Saccharomyces cerevisiae S288C: one gene and its partners. The protein of the gene in region 2 interacts with the protein of the main gene of each other region in a biochemical or structural test. Each region holds a gene or a part of one and is shown on either strand. Other genes may lie near its edges.

Evidence for each region. The genes of interacting proteins can lie anywhere in the genome.
Region 1: the proteins of MSB3 (region 2) and BUD6 form a complex in vitro, tested with the Saccharomyces cerevisiae proteins (one study listed by BioGRID).
Region 3: of the proteins of MSB3 (region 2) and VPS21, one has a biochemical effect on the other in vitro, tested with the Saccharomyces cerevisiae proteins (3 studies listed by BioGRID, with this or other methods).

The regions. Positions count from the first base shown.
Region 1 is NC_001144.5:767,978-773,814, forward strand, and holds BUD6 (formin-mediated actin nucleation enhancer), read right to left. Parts: upstream 3,708-5,837; coding exon 1,341-3,707; downstream 1-1,340. Other genes in the region: EST2 (telomerase reverse transcriptase), read left to right, coding at 1-1,219; MMS22 (Mms22p), read left to right, coding at 3,963-5,837.
Region 2 is NC_001146.8:78,929-84,138, reverse strand, and holds MSB3 (Rab GTPase-activating protein MSB3), read right to left. Parts: upstream 3,500-5,210; coding exon 1,598-3,499; downstream 1-1,597. Other genes in the region: pseudouridine synthase PUS4, read right to left, coding at 122-1,333; RIM21 (Rim21p), read left to right, coding at 3,879-5,210. UniProt on the Saccharomyces cerevisiae protein: Regulates exocytosis by functioning as a GAP for SEC4. Stimulates specifically the GTPase activity of YPT6. Also required for efficient polarization of the actin patches.
Region 3 is NC_001147.6:488,856-492,699, forward strand, and holds VPS21 (Rab family GTPase VPS21), read right to left. Parts: upstream 1,974-3,844; coding exon 1,341-1,973; downstream 1-1,340. Other genes in the region: YVC1 (Yvc1p), read left to right, coding at 1-879; type 2C protein phosphatase PTC5, read right to left, coding at 2,268-3,844.

The sequences.
Region 1 (5,837 bases), on a different chromosome or scaffold from region 2:
AAAAATTTTAGAATACCTAAGAAACAAAAGGCCGACTAGTTTTACTAAAATATATTCTCCAACGCAAATAGCTGACCGTATCAAAGAATTTAAGCAGAGACTTTTAAAGAAATTTAATAATGTCTTACCAGAGCTTTATTTCATGAAATTTGATGTCAAATCTTGCTATGATTCCATACCAAGGATGGAATGTATGAGGATACTCAAGGATGCGCTAAAAAATGAAAATGGGTTTTTCGTTAGATCTCAATATTTCTTCAATACCAATACAGGTGTATTGAAGTTATTTAATGTTGTTAACGCTAGCAGAGTACCAAAACCTTATGAGCTATACATAGATAATGTGAGGACGGTTCATTTATCAAATCAGGATGTTATAAACGTTGTAGAGATGGAAATATTTAAAACAGCTTTGTGGGTTGAAGATAAGTGCTACATTAGAGAAGATGGTCTTTTTCAGGGCTCTAGTTTATCTGCTCCGATCGTTGATTTGGTGTATGACGATCTTCTGGAGTTTTATAGCGAGTTTAAAGCCAGTCCTAGCCAGGACACATTAATTTTAAAACTGGCTGACGATTTCCTTATAATATCAACAGACCAACAGCAAGTGATCAATATCAAAAAGCTTGCCATGGGCGGATTTCAAAAATATAATGCGAAAGCCAATAGAGACAAAATTTTAGCCGTAAGCTCCCAATCAGATGATGATACGGTTATTCAATTTTGTGCAATGCACATATTTGTTAAAGAATTGGAAGTTTGGAAACATTCAAGCACAATGAATAATTTCCATATCCGTTCGAAATCTAGTAAAGGGATATTTCGAAGTTTAATAGCGCTGTTTAACACTAGAATCTCTTATAAAACAATTGACACAAATTTAAATTCAACAAACACCGTTCTCATGCAAATTGATCATGTTGTAAAGAACATTTCGGAATGTTATAAATCTGCTTTTAAGGATCTATCAATTAATGTTACGCAAAATATGCAATTTCATTCGTTCTTACAACGCATCATTGAAATGACAGTCAGCGGTTGTCCAATTACGAAATGTGATCCTTTAATCGAGTATGAGGTACGATTCACCATATTGAATGGATTTTTGGAAAGCCTATCTTCAAACACATCAAAATTTAAAGATAATATCATTCTTTTGAGAAAGGAAATTCAACACTTGCAAGCATATATATATATATATATACATATAGTTAATTAGTACTAATAATACATGAAATACTGACAGCTTATGATGCTGATAAGGAAAATATTGCCGCAAACTTTGTAATAAGCCAAAAGCACTAATCTCTTTTCCGTTAGCTTTCATAAAATTAGTGTATTTAAGTAAACCCCGGCCCAAAATATGCTCTCAAATTTGCTTCATCCTTCTGCTTTCTTATCCTTTCTACTTCTTCAAAGCCTCCCGATTTTTTCAGGTTTGAATTACCCACAAAATTTTCCAGTTCATCATCAAATTCATTACTAGCTTTAAGTTTTCTTTCCATCTCCCACATCTTCTCAGCCTTGTCAATAGCTTCGACCCTACTATCGTGGTCAGGGTTTAAAGATTGGACGGCCACCATAACTTGCTCCCTTACCTGATTAAATGTGCCCGGTCTCATAATAGGCAAAATAGGATTACTTTTTGATCTCGAAGGGTTTTTTTCTTGTTCTTCACAACATAACTTAATAAGATCGAAAGTTTCTAATGCCTTACCCAAGTCTTCCTTCAAATCTAAAATCAACTCTTCCTGCAACGTGAGAAACTGTTGTTCTTCACAGACCTTATCGAGCTCAGCTTCCCAAGTTTTTTTCCAATGTGGTTTTTCAGTATCAATAAACTCCTGTAGTTTAAGTACATCTGCTTGGGCATTTTCTAAATCCTTGGATACGGTTTCTAGCTTCTTTTTAGCGGGCTGAGACCTACGCTCAGCAACGTCTTTCCTCATAATTTCGATTACATCTTGCAAATCATCTACTTTACTTAGCAGAGTATCGGATAAATCACCGAGTTCGGTCTGTGATTTTTCCATGTACATTCTGTTGGAAGAGTTTTTGGCAGAAAATGATAAAGACTTAAAGTTATCGACCTTTCGTAAAATGTTGAAAATAGTCTCATTAATATTTGACCTATTAATATTATGCACTTGTTTTATTTTCCCCAATTCGTACTGAATATCTTTGATCGTTTTATCATCATCTTTTTTGTTTTGCCCCACAAGATCGTGTTTGTTAGCTTCAAGGCCAGGTTGTGGTAAAACTTCCGTTTGCTTGCCGCTAATTGCAGAACCAAAACTCATTTCTTTTAAATGTCTTATTATATCATTCTGACTATTCGATATCTCCATCTTAACTGTGTCAATGAATTCCTTGATCGTATTATTTGGATTCTCTTCGAGCTTTAGCTCGATAACAAACCCTTCTTTAATATCGAGAAGATTTAGTTCCTCTAATTCATAGAATACTCCATATTGAGGATCCATAATATATATGTCTGGGAAGGAATTTGCTCCAGGAGAATACGCAAAGCGCTCAATAAATAGGAGCCTTAATGCGTTTTTTGTAGTAGGCAGTTGCACATGACACTTCTTTGTTTTGTCTCCTATCCTTAAAAATACTGGACAAGTTCCATTCATGGCTTTATCTGGCGAAGTTGTAACAACGCTTGATAATCTTCGTGGAGATGCACGAACATTCTCAATAGGCAATGGCGTTTTCGCCAATGGACTCGCCTTTGATACATCGTCAATGCTTTTACCCTTATTTTCAGCTGAATTAATGTTTCTATCATCATCATTGTTGTTATTTCCGTATAACTTTGACTTTCTTACGGTTTCCTCTAGATGCAACATCGAGGGTGAAGGAGTTGTCATGAGGCCGGCAGCCGCAGCAGCTTCTGTTGTAGACTGATTTGTCAATTTAGCCATATGGTAGGCAGAGTATCTCTTTGAGGCTCTCCTTTGTAAATTAGTTCCCTTCTTCAATTGTGAAAGTGCATCATCATCATCAGATGCGTTTGGAGCATTGTTAGATTTAAGGTTTTGTTTAATATTAGTTCTTGGTTTTGTCAATGTTGCCTCTGCTGACTGAGCAGAGGGTGTTCCCGTAGAAGTAGAATTCACTTTTTCCCCATAGCTGTTTTCGACTGAATCGCTTTGCCTCTGATCACGTACAATACTGCTTTTTCTGCTACTTAATGGAGTCCCCTCACGGGTCCCTTCACTACCCAATGAAAGGTTACTAGTAAAGGAAGGGTTTTGTTGATGATGTGATTTTACACTTATCCGATGCTCTTGCTGCATATTCTTCAAAATTGCTTGTTTAACCTTTAGTTTGTCTAAAAGTGTCACTATAATCTCTCTGATTTTTGGCAGATGTTTATTTAAAGTTTCATCAGATGGTGGTTCCCTCAATGTCACTTCCAATACACGTCTTAAAGCCATTGGCACATCACCAACATCTGACATGTCAACTTTCGCATGCATGAAGAATTTCGATACGACTTTGAAGTCATTGCCCAACTGAACGTATGCATCAGATACTAATCTTCCAGAGGTTGTCCCCTTAGACCATTGTGTTAAGACCTGGAGGAGGTGCTTGGTGGACATCAGCAACTTTGTTACTGTCGTTTCAATACTACTACTGCTAGAAGCAGTTCTTTTAATCTTTGGGGTGCCATACGTAGGGTCATCCACGGCCATCTTCATCTAATTTTAAAATAATACGAGGATTACTACACCAATTTGGCAGCCAGCTTCTACTCTTTTTCCCTTTTCTTGGGTTTGTTTTGATGCCATTATCTCAAGAATGCATAATAGTAGGATAAAATTCGTTCAGCTCGGCTAGCGAGATATCTTCAAAGAGTAAAGCGCATCTGCGTGTAAAATTAAATTCAAGAAGTGAAAGAATAAAAGATAGGATTGTAGATTTGAAGTTTAGTGGTAGCGTCAGCAGATAAGCTTATGGATGTTGATGAACCGAATCCTATTGTGATATCAGATTCTGAGGCCACTGATGAGGAAATTAGTATCATATACGAACCCGAATTCAATGAAAATTATTTATGGGCAGAGGAAAACGTCCAAGAAGCAAGCAGATCACAGAAAATTGTCACTGAGAGGTTGAGCCTGGATTCCACTGCTGGAGAATCTTGTACTCCTTCCGTAGTAACTGATACACAAGTTACTACGGGGCTTCGGTGGTCTTTGAGGAAGAGGAAGGCTATTCAAAAGATGCCATACAGTTTAGAACGCATAAAGCATAGGCAGTTGCTAGAGGGCTATGATATCTCTAGTTTTGACAGCATTTCGAATCAGTTGACCTTACCGAAGAACGCTTCTACAGTGATTCACTCAAATGATATTTTACTTACAAAGAGAACTGGTAAACCCTTAGATGAGCAGAAAGATGTTACAATCGACTCCATTAAACCCGAAAACAGCTCGGTTCAATCTCAAAGATATGATAGTGATGAAGAAATACCAAAGAAAAGGCATCGTACTTTTAAAGACCTCGACCAGGATATAGTATTTCAATCAGGTGATTCTACGGAAGATGAACAAGACTTGGCTAGTACAAATTTACAGAATACTCAAAATGACGAAGTAATATTTAGAGGAAGAGTATTGAATGTAAGAACTGGTTACCGTGGGGTCCTGCCAAGAGTTGCTTGGGAAAAGTCGTTGCAAAAGCAGCAGTCTTCAAAAGTCACGAAAAGAAAAACTCAATTATTGAACCATAAGGGTGTGGCTAAGAGGAAAATGAACAGAAGCGCCCATATTGAAGATGAAGAACAGAACTTATTGAACGATCTTATTGCACCTGATGACGAACTGGATATCGAGGAAAACGCCCCTCCAGATATATACTTAGGAAATCTTCCAGAGGATCGTGAGGCTAACGAAAAGGAATTAAAGGAATTGCAAGAATATTATGAGAGCAAGTATAGTGAAGACGCACAATCGGCTGGAACTTCTGGTTTTAATTTAAATGAGGAATACCGCAATGAACCAGTGTATGAGCTGGAATATGACGGACCGGGGAGCTGCATATCACATGTGTCTTATAAAGACCAGCCTATTATTTATTTGAATTCACGGCATTCAGATAGCGGATTTAGTGAGCAATACAATATATCTGCCGAAGATAATCAAAGTGTAATTTCCCTAGATGCTGCTGAAGAGCATAACGATGGTATAATTGACAAGATGTTGGTTAAACCTAAAAGAATTAAAGCAACCAATGATGCCAACTTTTTGAATACAAAAAGTAAGAGAGTGAGAAGATATAAGTACAAATATCGAAATTCTTGTCTGGCCCCAAGTACAAAAGCTATCAAAGTCGGAAAACGGTCAGCGCATAAATCTCATTTGGCAGCTAATAATCCAGTTTCATTTGTTTCTAAGAAGAATCATGTAATTGATGATTATTTTTTTGAAGAATTAGAATCTCAATCCCTAGAACAGGATGACAGCTCTTCTCTCAAGCCACAGAAAAAAAGAAGGAAGAAGAAAGCACCTATATACTCAAGTTTCTCCGCTGATCTTGAATCGAGACGAAAACCAGTTTTCAATACTGTTGTAGAGGTTCCCACGAACCGATACGCTTTCACAAAGCCAAATGTACGTAATAGGGACAGCATTAATCATGACATGGAATTTGAGGAAGAAGACTCCAATCAAGAGCTTGGACCAATAATGGTCGTACTTGACTCAATTTTACTAAAAAAACCTTTTGAGCCACCTAATTTCTTCAAGATCCAGTTGTCAGACAAGAGTTTCTTGCTATCAAAATTGAATCCTGCAGATATAGCTACATCATTACAGAAAATATTCAGA
Region 2 (5,210 bases):
CGATTTAAATGCATAAGTACATCGATTTTTTTTAAATCATATATACACATAAAAAAATAGATAAAATGAGAGCGTAGTCTTCACAAGACCAAAAAAAAAAATGGTTCGAACTTCCTCTTTTTTACACCTGTTCGATTTTTCTTTTTAGTGTATTAGAATGTTCTTCGGCGTTAGCAGTTTCAATTGTTTCAGCCGTAGCCTCATCACCAGGTTGATCACTCGAAACTATACATTCCTTCACGTCCGCTGGTATTTCCTTTTCTGCTTTCTTTAGCTCTTCTATAACATCAACAGTTGCTCCCTCGTCTAGAACCTTCTCCAGTACCTTACTCCACACCTTCTCGTCTCTTTCAGTAAAATCCGTTAATTGGAACACATTATTTTTTTCAAGAGACCAGTCCTGCTGTTGCAAACGTATCAATTTCACCATATAACATGAGCTCCTCATAGATTTACCGATGTCGCTCACTAAGGACCTTATGTATGTTCCAGAAGACACATTAGCTTTGAAGTGCAATTTTGGAGCCCTATAAGAATCTCCTTCTTTTTGGATTTCTTGCTCTTCTTGTTCACTCAGCGGAAATGGTTCTTCTACCTTTGCCACCTCAGAATCAAGGCCGTGCTTCTCTGTATATTCTTTTGAAAAGTATAAAACATCGTTTAGCATGTTTGCATTCAAATTTTTCACGGTATCAACAGCTTCTTCTGTAGTGGGCCTCAATAAGGGATAGTCATGATCACGTTTAAGAGAGTCTGAAAACACCTTCAAGTCATAAATAGTAACTTGTCTGGGCTCAATGGCTCTAGGTAAAGGCTTTCCTTCTCGAGCATATTCATGCAGGGGTTTGCCATCCATCTTCAAAGCTGCGTATATTGGCGGCGTCTGCTTTAATTGTCCAACAAATTTTTCCTCCACAGTCTTTAAATCATCGAAATTTAAATGTTTAACGGAGTTCTGGGACAAAATCTCACCTTCTACATCTCCTGAAGTAGTGGAAACACCAAACAGGGCTTCACTTTCATAGACTTTAACGGTGCCTGAAAGATAATTTGCAAGTTTTTTGGTGCCCGCTCCAATCCCAATTACCAGGACACCAGAGGCCAACGGATCCAAAGTGCCTCCGTGTCCCATCTTTACCTTTGAGACTTTACGAAGTTTCCTCTTGCTGGCCTTCTTACCTGTCTGTTTTTCATATTGCTGCTTTCTTTCCGCTGTTGCCCTTTGAATTTCCTTCGAGAATACTTGACTTTTAGTTAAAGCATGTTGCAACTTTAGCATAAACTGATTGGATGTAATACCGCTAGGCTTCTCAATAGCAAATATTCCATTCATGTTCCCCTTGATTGAGTTTTCTTTTTATGTGATGCCCTAACTTACACAATTTACAAGCTTAGCTCATCTTTAACAAATTTTTCACCTCGCTGTTAGAAGATATCATGGAAAATTGCCAGATCAATACCAGAGAAAAAACGCCAAACAAAATTCTCTGAAATATAGATGCTCAAAAAAAAATAAGTCTGTGTATATGTATATGTTTTATATGCTAGTTAATTATCACATATTTGTTTATGCAAAAACAAAAACAGGAAGCAAAAGTTAGTCACCCTTGTCTTTTTTCTTCCTCATCTGCTTCACTTTCTCCTTGATGCTATTATTCCAATGAACTCCAGCTAGGCTCTTTTTAAACCCATATACCTCTGAAGATAATGCTTCATTGACTGCATCACTTGTTATGTGGATACCTTTATTATCTGTATTATCATTAATTGGCAAATCTGCCTCTGATGTTGAATTTCCAAGAAGTTCACCATATGTCTTAAATTTGAGACGCTGAGCGGCAACAAATTTTCGACACCTGTCTATTTCATCCTGATCTAACCTATTTAAATTAAATCTCCTTTTGAAAATGATTTTCTCAAAGATCTCATTTGGGTTCAATAATGTCTTAGGGAATGTCTGTATGACCTGAAAAATTTCCATATCGCTATCTTCTTGGCCCATTGATCCGCCTCTCTGGTTTAAGTTAGAGCCCCAAGAATAATTCAACGAATTGTTACGAGGTTTTATTTTCGAAAGGTCATGCTCGCTCAATTTTAAGACAGCCAACGAAACTTTGAATAGAAAATGTGATTCCTCGTAAAACAGACAATCCCATATTCTAAGCGTGGTCTCTATCGGCACTACACCGACAAAGCAACTCATGAACCAGCTCGCCGTGCACAAAGTAATGGGCGGAAGTCTGTACAAGAACTCATTCTTTTGCATATTGAATAAAACTTTTTTATTTGACGGAGAAAAAGTTTTGTTATTTTTTTGGTGGTGGTCAATGGAAGGCTTAATGTACGACCAAACTTCTGGAATATATTCTTTGACACATAGCATCAGTACCCCTTGGTCGATGTTAACACCTTCTAGATTGATATTATGCACCCCCGGTAGGTATCTTGAAGTAATAATCACTAGCATCCAAAAGGCCCTTTCCTCGTCTAAAAATAACAATAGCAAGCCTGCAAGAAAGTTCATAGATTGACAATAGCCAATCTTCGGATTGTAGAGAGAGAACGCAACAAGCACCCGGCGTAAAGATTTTATAATCGGAGGTCCCTCTTTGTTATGCAAGCTACTTTGGAAATGTATATTGTCCGGAAATGTTCTATTCAAGTCACGTTCAATAATATCCAAGTCTTGAACTTGTTTTTCATTAGGGTTTTGTTTCTTGATCTGCTTCATCTTTCGTAAAAGTTGTGAATAGACGCCTTTATTCTTGTTTAACTTCTCTTGCCCTCTAGCGAAATGCCACCATGCATTTCCTCTCCATTCCGCTGGAATGCCCTTTCTGACATACCTTTTTAACCGTTCACTCTTTGATGGAAATCGTGAAGGAGAATCATCGGTCACTGGCAACCCACTTTTCTCCAACAGCAATTGCCATTTGTGCTTACGGCGAACGCAGTACTGCGAATATTCTACCCACCACTTATCGTATTCTGCTTCAGATATGTAATTATTCTGTTTTTTGAAACCGTATCGATCAAAATGGGTATTGTTGATTCCATTGGAATTCGCACTTGTGGCACTAGCGGCACCCTCCAATTCTACACGCTGACGGTTGTCATCATCAGGAACCAAATCGAGGTCATCACTGTGCACTTCCTCCAGATCTTCGTTACCATTATCGCCATTATTATCATCATCATCCTCTCCTTCGGCACGTTGGGATTCCACTTCGTCTCCATACAGGTCAATAACGCTTAAATTCCCATCATGTTCAGAGGGGGATGCTTGGCCCAAACAACTTGGTTCCACAGAGCGATGATCATTCGCTCTAAAGCTTCCGTTCACCAGAGCTGAGTCGCTAGAACTATGATCTGAATGCATTTTATCATGAAAGTTAGGAACAGACGGTGATTTCACCGTAAATGCCCCTCCTAGCCTTTTGTATGGATGCGCCAGTACCGTCCTATTTTGCAGGGAGAACCTCTGTTGATCGTTCTGCATGCTAATTACAATGGTTCTGGGTGCGCAACTCTTTGACTCCTACAAAGCTTCTAGATGTCCCTTTAGCTATTTTTAGCTACTTTCTTTCTACGTGACATAAACGAGGTTTGATCCTGTTAATTCTGATACTGCCCGAACAGAAAAATAGCAGCTATTGAAAGAGAAGATGGAACCCGTTGTATCGGCGAGTAAAGATAAGTACTTTAGAAGAGCAACCCACATCGTTTAGTTACAAGAAAGACAAAAGACTGGTACTACAGATTCGGTGTCCTTTACCTGTTTTCTTCTTTCCTGTGCGCACTTAATCAGTCATTTTAGACTATCGTTTTTAGTAGCACATAAGGAGGAAGACACTCGATGAATAGTCGATTCTGCAAACATGAACTTGTGGAGACATAGTCCAGAAGAATTGGCTGCTTACAATAGCTGTCATCCAATGAAGCTAGGTTCAGGGGTGCTGATACAATTGCCTCTTTATGACAATTCGGCAGTATATGCAGAAGATATTACTTTTAGGAGTTTCTGCTGTGAAAGAGTGCCCGTTTATGTATCTACGGTGCTAAGAAACTCTTCCCCATATAGGTATCTTGATGAGGTGATCAATGACTGGCAAAAATTCATTCAAGTAAGCGATTATGTCGGCGGTTCTGCTGAGTATGCGATTTATGCTGTGATTTTGTCGATAACTTCTAATTTTGTCATCACAGTGTTCCTGACTGTGATATGCTGTATAAATATCAGCGGGCGCGCATATAAGAGAATTCTACAACTACTGAGGATAGCCTCGTTGTTAGCCTCGTTGAACTTAACGATTTTTATCACGAAGGTGTTGCGGAGATTGGAAAAAGAGCACAATGTCTATGGTGTCGTTCGGGCTCATTCCATTATGCACATCTTTTCCGATGATATGACATTTGTTGTCTTGGATTTCTTGGCTACTTTAATGTTCCAATTTTGCCAAGTCGGCATTGTCATTAGGCTATTTCAAAGAGCTCAGGAAAAGAGAATAATTTTTTTTATTGGGGTGATATTAACAATAACCGCAAATATTTTATGGGTAATTCCACCGTTTGCTAACCATACTACAAAACACAGAAATGACTGGCAGATTCTGCGGCCATTTGTTTACCTTTTCCGTATTGCCATCGCCACGTCATATGCATCAATCGTCATTTATCACATCTGGCAGAAAAAAAAATTGTGGTTTAAATTCAATCAAATGGGTTTACTTACGCTATTGACTATTCTTGTGGTGCTTCTATTACCGGGTTTCTTCCTTGCCGATGTGTCGAACTTATGGATATCGGAACTGGGTGAAGTGTTTAACACGACATGCTATGTCACTTCGACCGTGATCACATGGGAGTGGCTGGATAGATTAAATGTTTTGGAAAGAAAAGAGGAAGCGCAAAGCATTTTGGGAAGACCTATCTTCGAGGAAGAGCAACAAGACTATCGGTTTGCCAAGTACGCCTTAAGGGTTCAAAACGCTTTAACCAGGAGGGAATCTCAGGACGCATCAACGGATCGGCACGATACGTCAAGTAATTCGGAAGTATGTGATTTACAGACCATATCACGCTACGACCCAGAAGATCAGATATCAGTGGGCAGAAGCATTGATCGAATGCATTTCAATGATAGGGGAACTTATAAAGATGTAGCGCTGAAGAAATTAGGCTATGCGCGTGATAAAATTTTATACTTTACA
Region 3 (3,844 bases), on a different chromosome or scaffold from region 2:
TTCTTAATAATGATAGGATTCACTCAAGGTTTCTTAGGTTTGGATTCCGCAGATGGTAAGAGAGATATCACCGGACCCATCCTGGGTAATTTAACAATCACCGTTTTGGGTCTTGGTAGTTTTGATGTTTTCGAAGAATTCGCTCCCCCATATGCGGCAATACTGTATTATGGTTACTATTTTATTGTTTCGGTTATCCTTTTGAATATATTAATTGCTTTGTATTCGACTGCGTACCAAAAAGTTATTGACAATGCAGATGACGAGTACATGGCTTTGATGTCACAAAAGACGTTGAGATACATTAGAGCACCTGATGAAGATGTCTATGTTTCTCCATTGAACTTAATTGAAGTGTTCATGACACCTATCTTTCGTATTCTTCCACCGAAGCGTGCTAAAGATTTGAGCTATACTGTAATGACAATAGTGTACAGCCCATTTTTGTTGCTTATTTCTGTTAAAGAAACTCGGGAGGCTAGAAGGATAAAATATAACAGGATGAAAAGGTTAAACGATGATGCCAATGAATATGATACTCCATGGGATTTGACAGATGGCTACTTGGATGATGATGACGGTTTGTTTTCTGATAACCGAAATTCTGGCATGAGAGCCACCCAGTTAAAGAATTCCCGTTCGCTAAAACTGCAAAGAACAGCAGAGCAGGAAGATGTCCATTTTAAAGTCCCTAAGAAGTGGTATAAAAACGTTAAAAAATGCAGTCCCTCCTTCGAACAGTATGATAACGATGACACTGAAGATGATGCTGGTGAAGATAAAGATGAAGTCAAAGAGCTCACTAAGAAAGTGGAAAACTTGACAGCTGTAATTACCGATCTACTCGAAAAATTAGACATAAAGGATAAGAAAGAGTAAACGACATGTGTTCAAATACTGCTTAATTAATTTCTCAGAAATCCATATATATATATATATATTGCTCCTCATTGCAACTTTGTAAATTTAATGTTCCTTTAATTTATCATTATTTACAATATTAACTAATCCATCTCCCGATTTTCGGCATAAAATAAGTTTATATTTTGGTCTACATGAAAACAAAAGTTTAACTAAACTAACGTGTACAAACCACTTTGAAACGTATATAAAGGTCTAATAAAAACGACTGGCGTTTTGAAAGATAATATAATGATCTAATGCAGTTAAAAAATTTACAAATTATAAGAAGAAAAGAAAAACAACGATTACGGTAAAAAATGAAAACTCCCTCTCCTTTCTAGGTACGATAAATTATGACTTTCATCTTTCCCGTTTTGAAGATCTATTTATCTCAATTTGCCCAGACTTTTTTTTTATATATATTTATTTTCCCCTCTCTAACAACTGCAAGCACTGTTTGCGCTGGTCCCATCATTAGCAGCGTTCAAATCCACTCTTTGATTGTTCGACTCACGTTCGTTACTTGCACTATTTTGCTCTTCAGCCGTCTTCAGTGGTATCTTTTCACCGATTCCCAAAAATACATCGTTAACATTCTCTCCTGTCTTTGCACTTGTTTCAAAGAACAACAAGCCCTTTTCTTCCGCTAGCTTTTCACCTTCTTCCCTTGCGACTTTTCTTTCCCCACCTTCTTGCAGCATATCGATCTTGTTACCAACTAACGCAATGATGATATCCTTTGATGCCTGTTCATGTAATTCCTTAACCCAGTGGCGCGCTTTAATAAAGGATTGTGGTTTTGTAACGTCGTATACTACAAGAGCAGCTTGTGCGTTTCTATAGTACATAGGTGCTAAAGATGCAAATCTCTCTTGCCCAGCAGTGTCCCATATTTCAAACTTAACAGTATGTTCATTTATAGTAACTCTTTGAGTGAGGAATGCTGCACCAATGGTGGGCTCCTTATTTTCGGCAAAATCATTAGATACAAACCTTAGGACTATTGACGATTTACCAACTGCTGCCTCACCCAACAGTACCAACTTTATGGAAGTGACTGATGTGTTCATTTTTTTGTGTGATAAAAGGGATATTTTTTTATAGCTTAGATAAGTCGACGATCTTGCTTTTTATTTTTAAAATCGTTGCCACTTTTATAAGATAAGCTGCTCGTATTTTCACCTCACTTCTCTTTCTTTGTCTTTTCGGGGATATTGTTTTAGCAAAAAGCCCCATAATGCAAACCGAGAAAACCAAAAAAAAAAAAAACACGTATGAGGTGACAAGAAACTAGATAATCAGCAGACTAATATCTATAAAATAAATCCTCTGGTATATACCTACCTCAGCATAAGTTTATATCGTCATAATCTAGGTTTTGGCTTTGTTGTTGCCTCCGGGTTCATAACTATTGAAGTAGCATTGGAGACAATTGAGGGTGTTCCAGAATCACCAAAGAACGCCACTGTTACTGTCAAGTCATCTCTGTATCTTCTACTCATCGGCGATGGTATACTTACCAATGCCGATACATATTCTTTTCTTCCGCCCGCACTTAATGCATTTCTAATTAAATGAGTGGCGACGTTTTTGTCTTCAATAAGATACTCTGGGTTTGATCCTGATGGTGAGCTCGAATTATTATCCTTGTACCTGAATGCCGGTCTTTGTGCTTCCTTGTCTTCAGATACATCGATAACTTTTGGTAATTTCCCCGGTTCTGCCTTCACAGGTGCCAGATTCATATTTTTATCCATCCACCTGATAACCAAGGAAGCAATTTCTTCATTAGTTAGTAATTCGAATAAACCATCCGAACCCATCACCATAAATTTAGTGTTCTCACCAATTTTGGCAGAAGTAATCACTGGTTCCGCAGTGACATATGGGGGTGTCTTGAAATCCCTTGGCTCTCTTCTAAAATAAAGTTTGGCAACTTCAGGCAAATCCGATAATGGTTTTCCATCGACTTCTTTGATCTTGTAGCGATAGTCTCCAAATGCCCTGGATGGTTGTAATGAACCCAATATTCTTCCGTTTCTTATAACGTTTGGTTCTCCTGGATGTTCTTTCCTAATTCTCCGTACTTCATCCAAATTATCACCGGTCTGGTCGGTGGATAGCGACTTTACCGTCCAATTGCCCTCGTTGTCCAAACCACAAATTAAAGCCCTTGAGTCTCCAGTGACAGCCACTTTCAAAATTGAGTTAGTGGAGTTGTATAAACTTAATAGTGCACAAGAACCAGAAATCGCTGGTAAAGTGTTTGCAATATTTGTGTTGTTTGGATCTTGAAACAGCTTCCTGAACGATTCGATTACAAGATCATTATCTAGTTTCAAAAAACCTTTCGAAATTGCAGAATCGATTAATTGGTTGGGGTCGGAATGGAAAACCGTTTTGTTCTGGTCATATACCTGACCTAATTGATACGCTACATAACGGACTAGATCTTTAGATAATTTTTCCGAAGTGAAAGGACCACCATGTCCATCAAAAATTCCAAAAAAATACAAATCCTTCTCTATGGACTTGCCATCCTCACTTTCTATCGGAATGGTAATGATTTGTTCTACGTGATCGTCTTCTATTGGATGGTTAGAGGGCAACTGTGCCACATCATACCTGAATATACCAGTGCCACGGTTAACAAAATGGCTTTCCTCTCTATCATGTAGTTTAGCCTCTATTTTAGAATCGTTCAAGATAAGAACAGATTGGTCATTCTGAGACCGTTGACTCTTTTGTGTCTCTGTTCCTTTTGGATTAGGTGACGGCATGTTAATGTTACCACTAGTATTTGTAGAATAATCTTTTATTCCGTTAATTGTATCAAGGGAGAGGATCTTTTTAGGGGAATAGTAGGAGTAGGTCAACAGTAGGGACCCGCTTAGTAGAGCAATGTTTAGAGCTTTAGAATGTGATGATATGAATAGCTTTG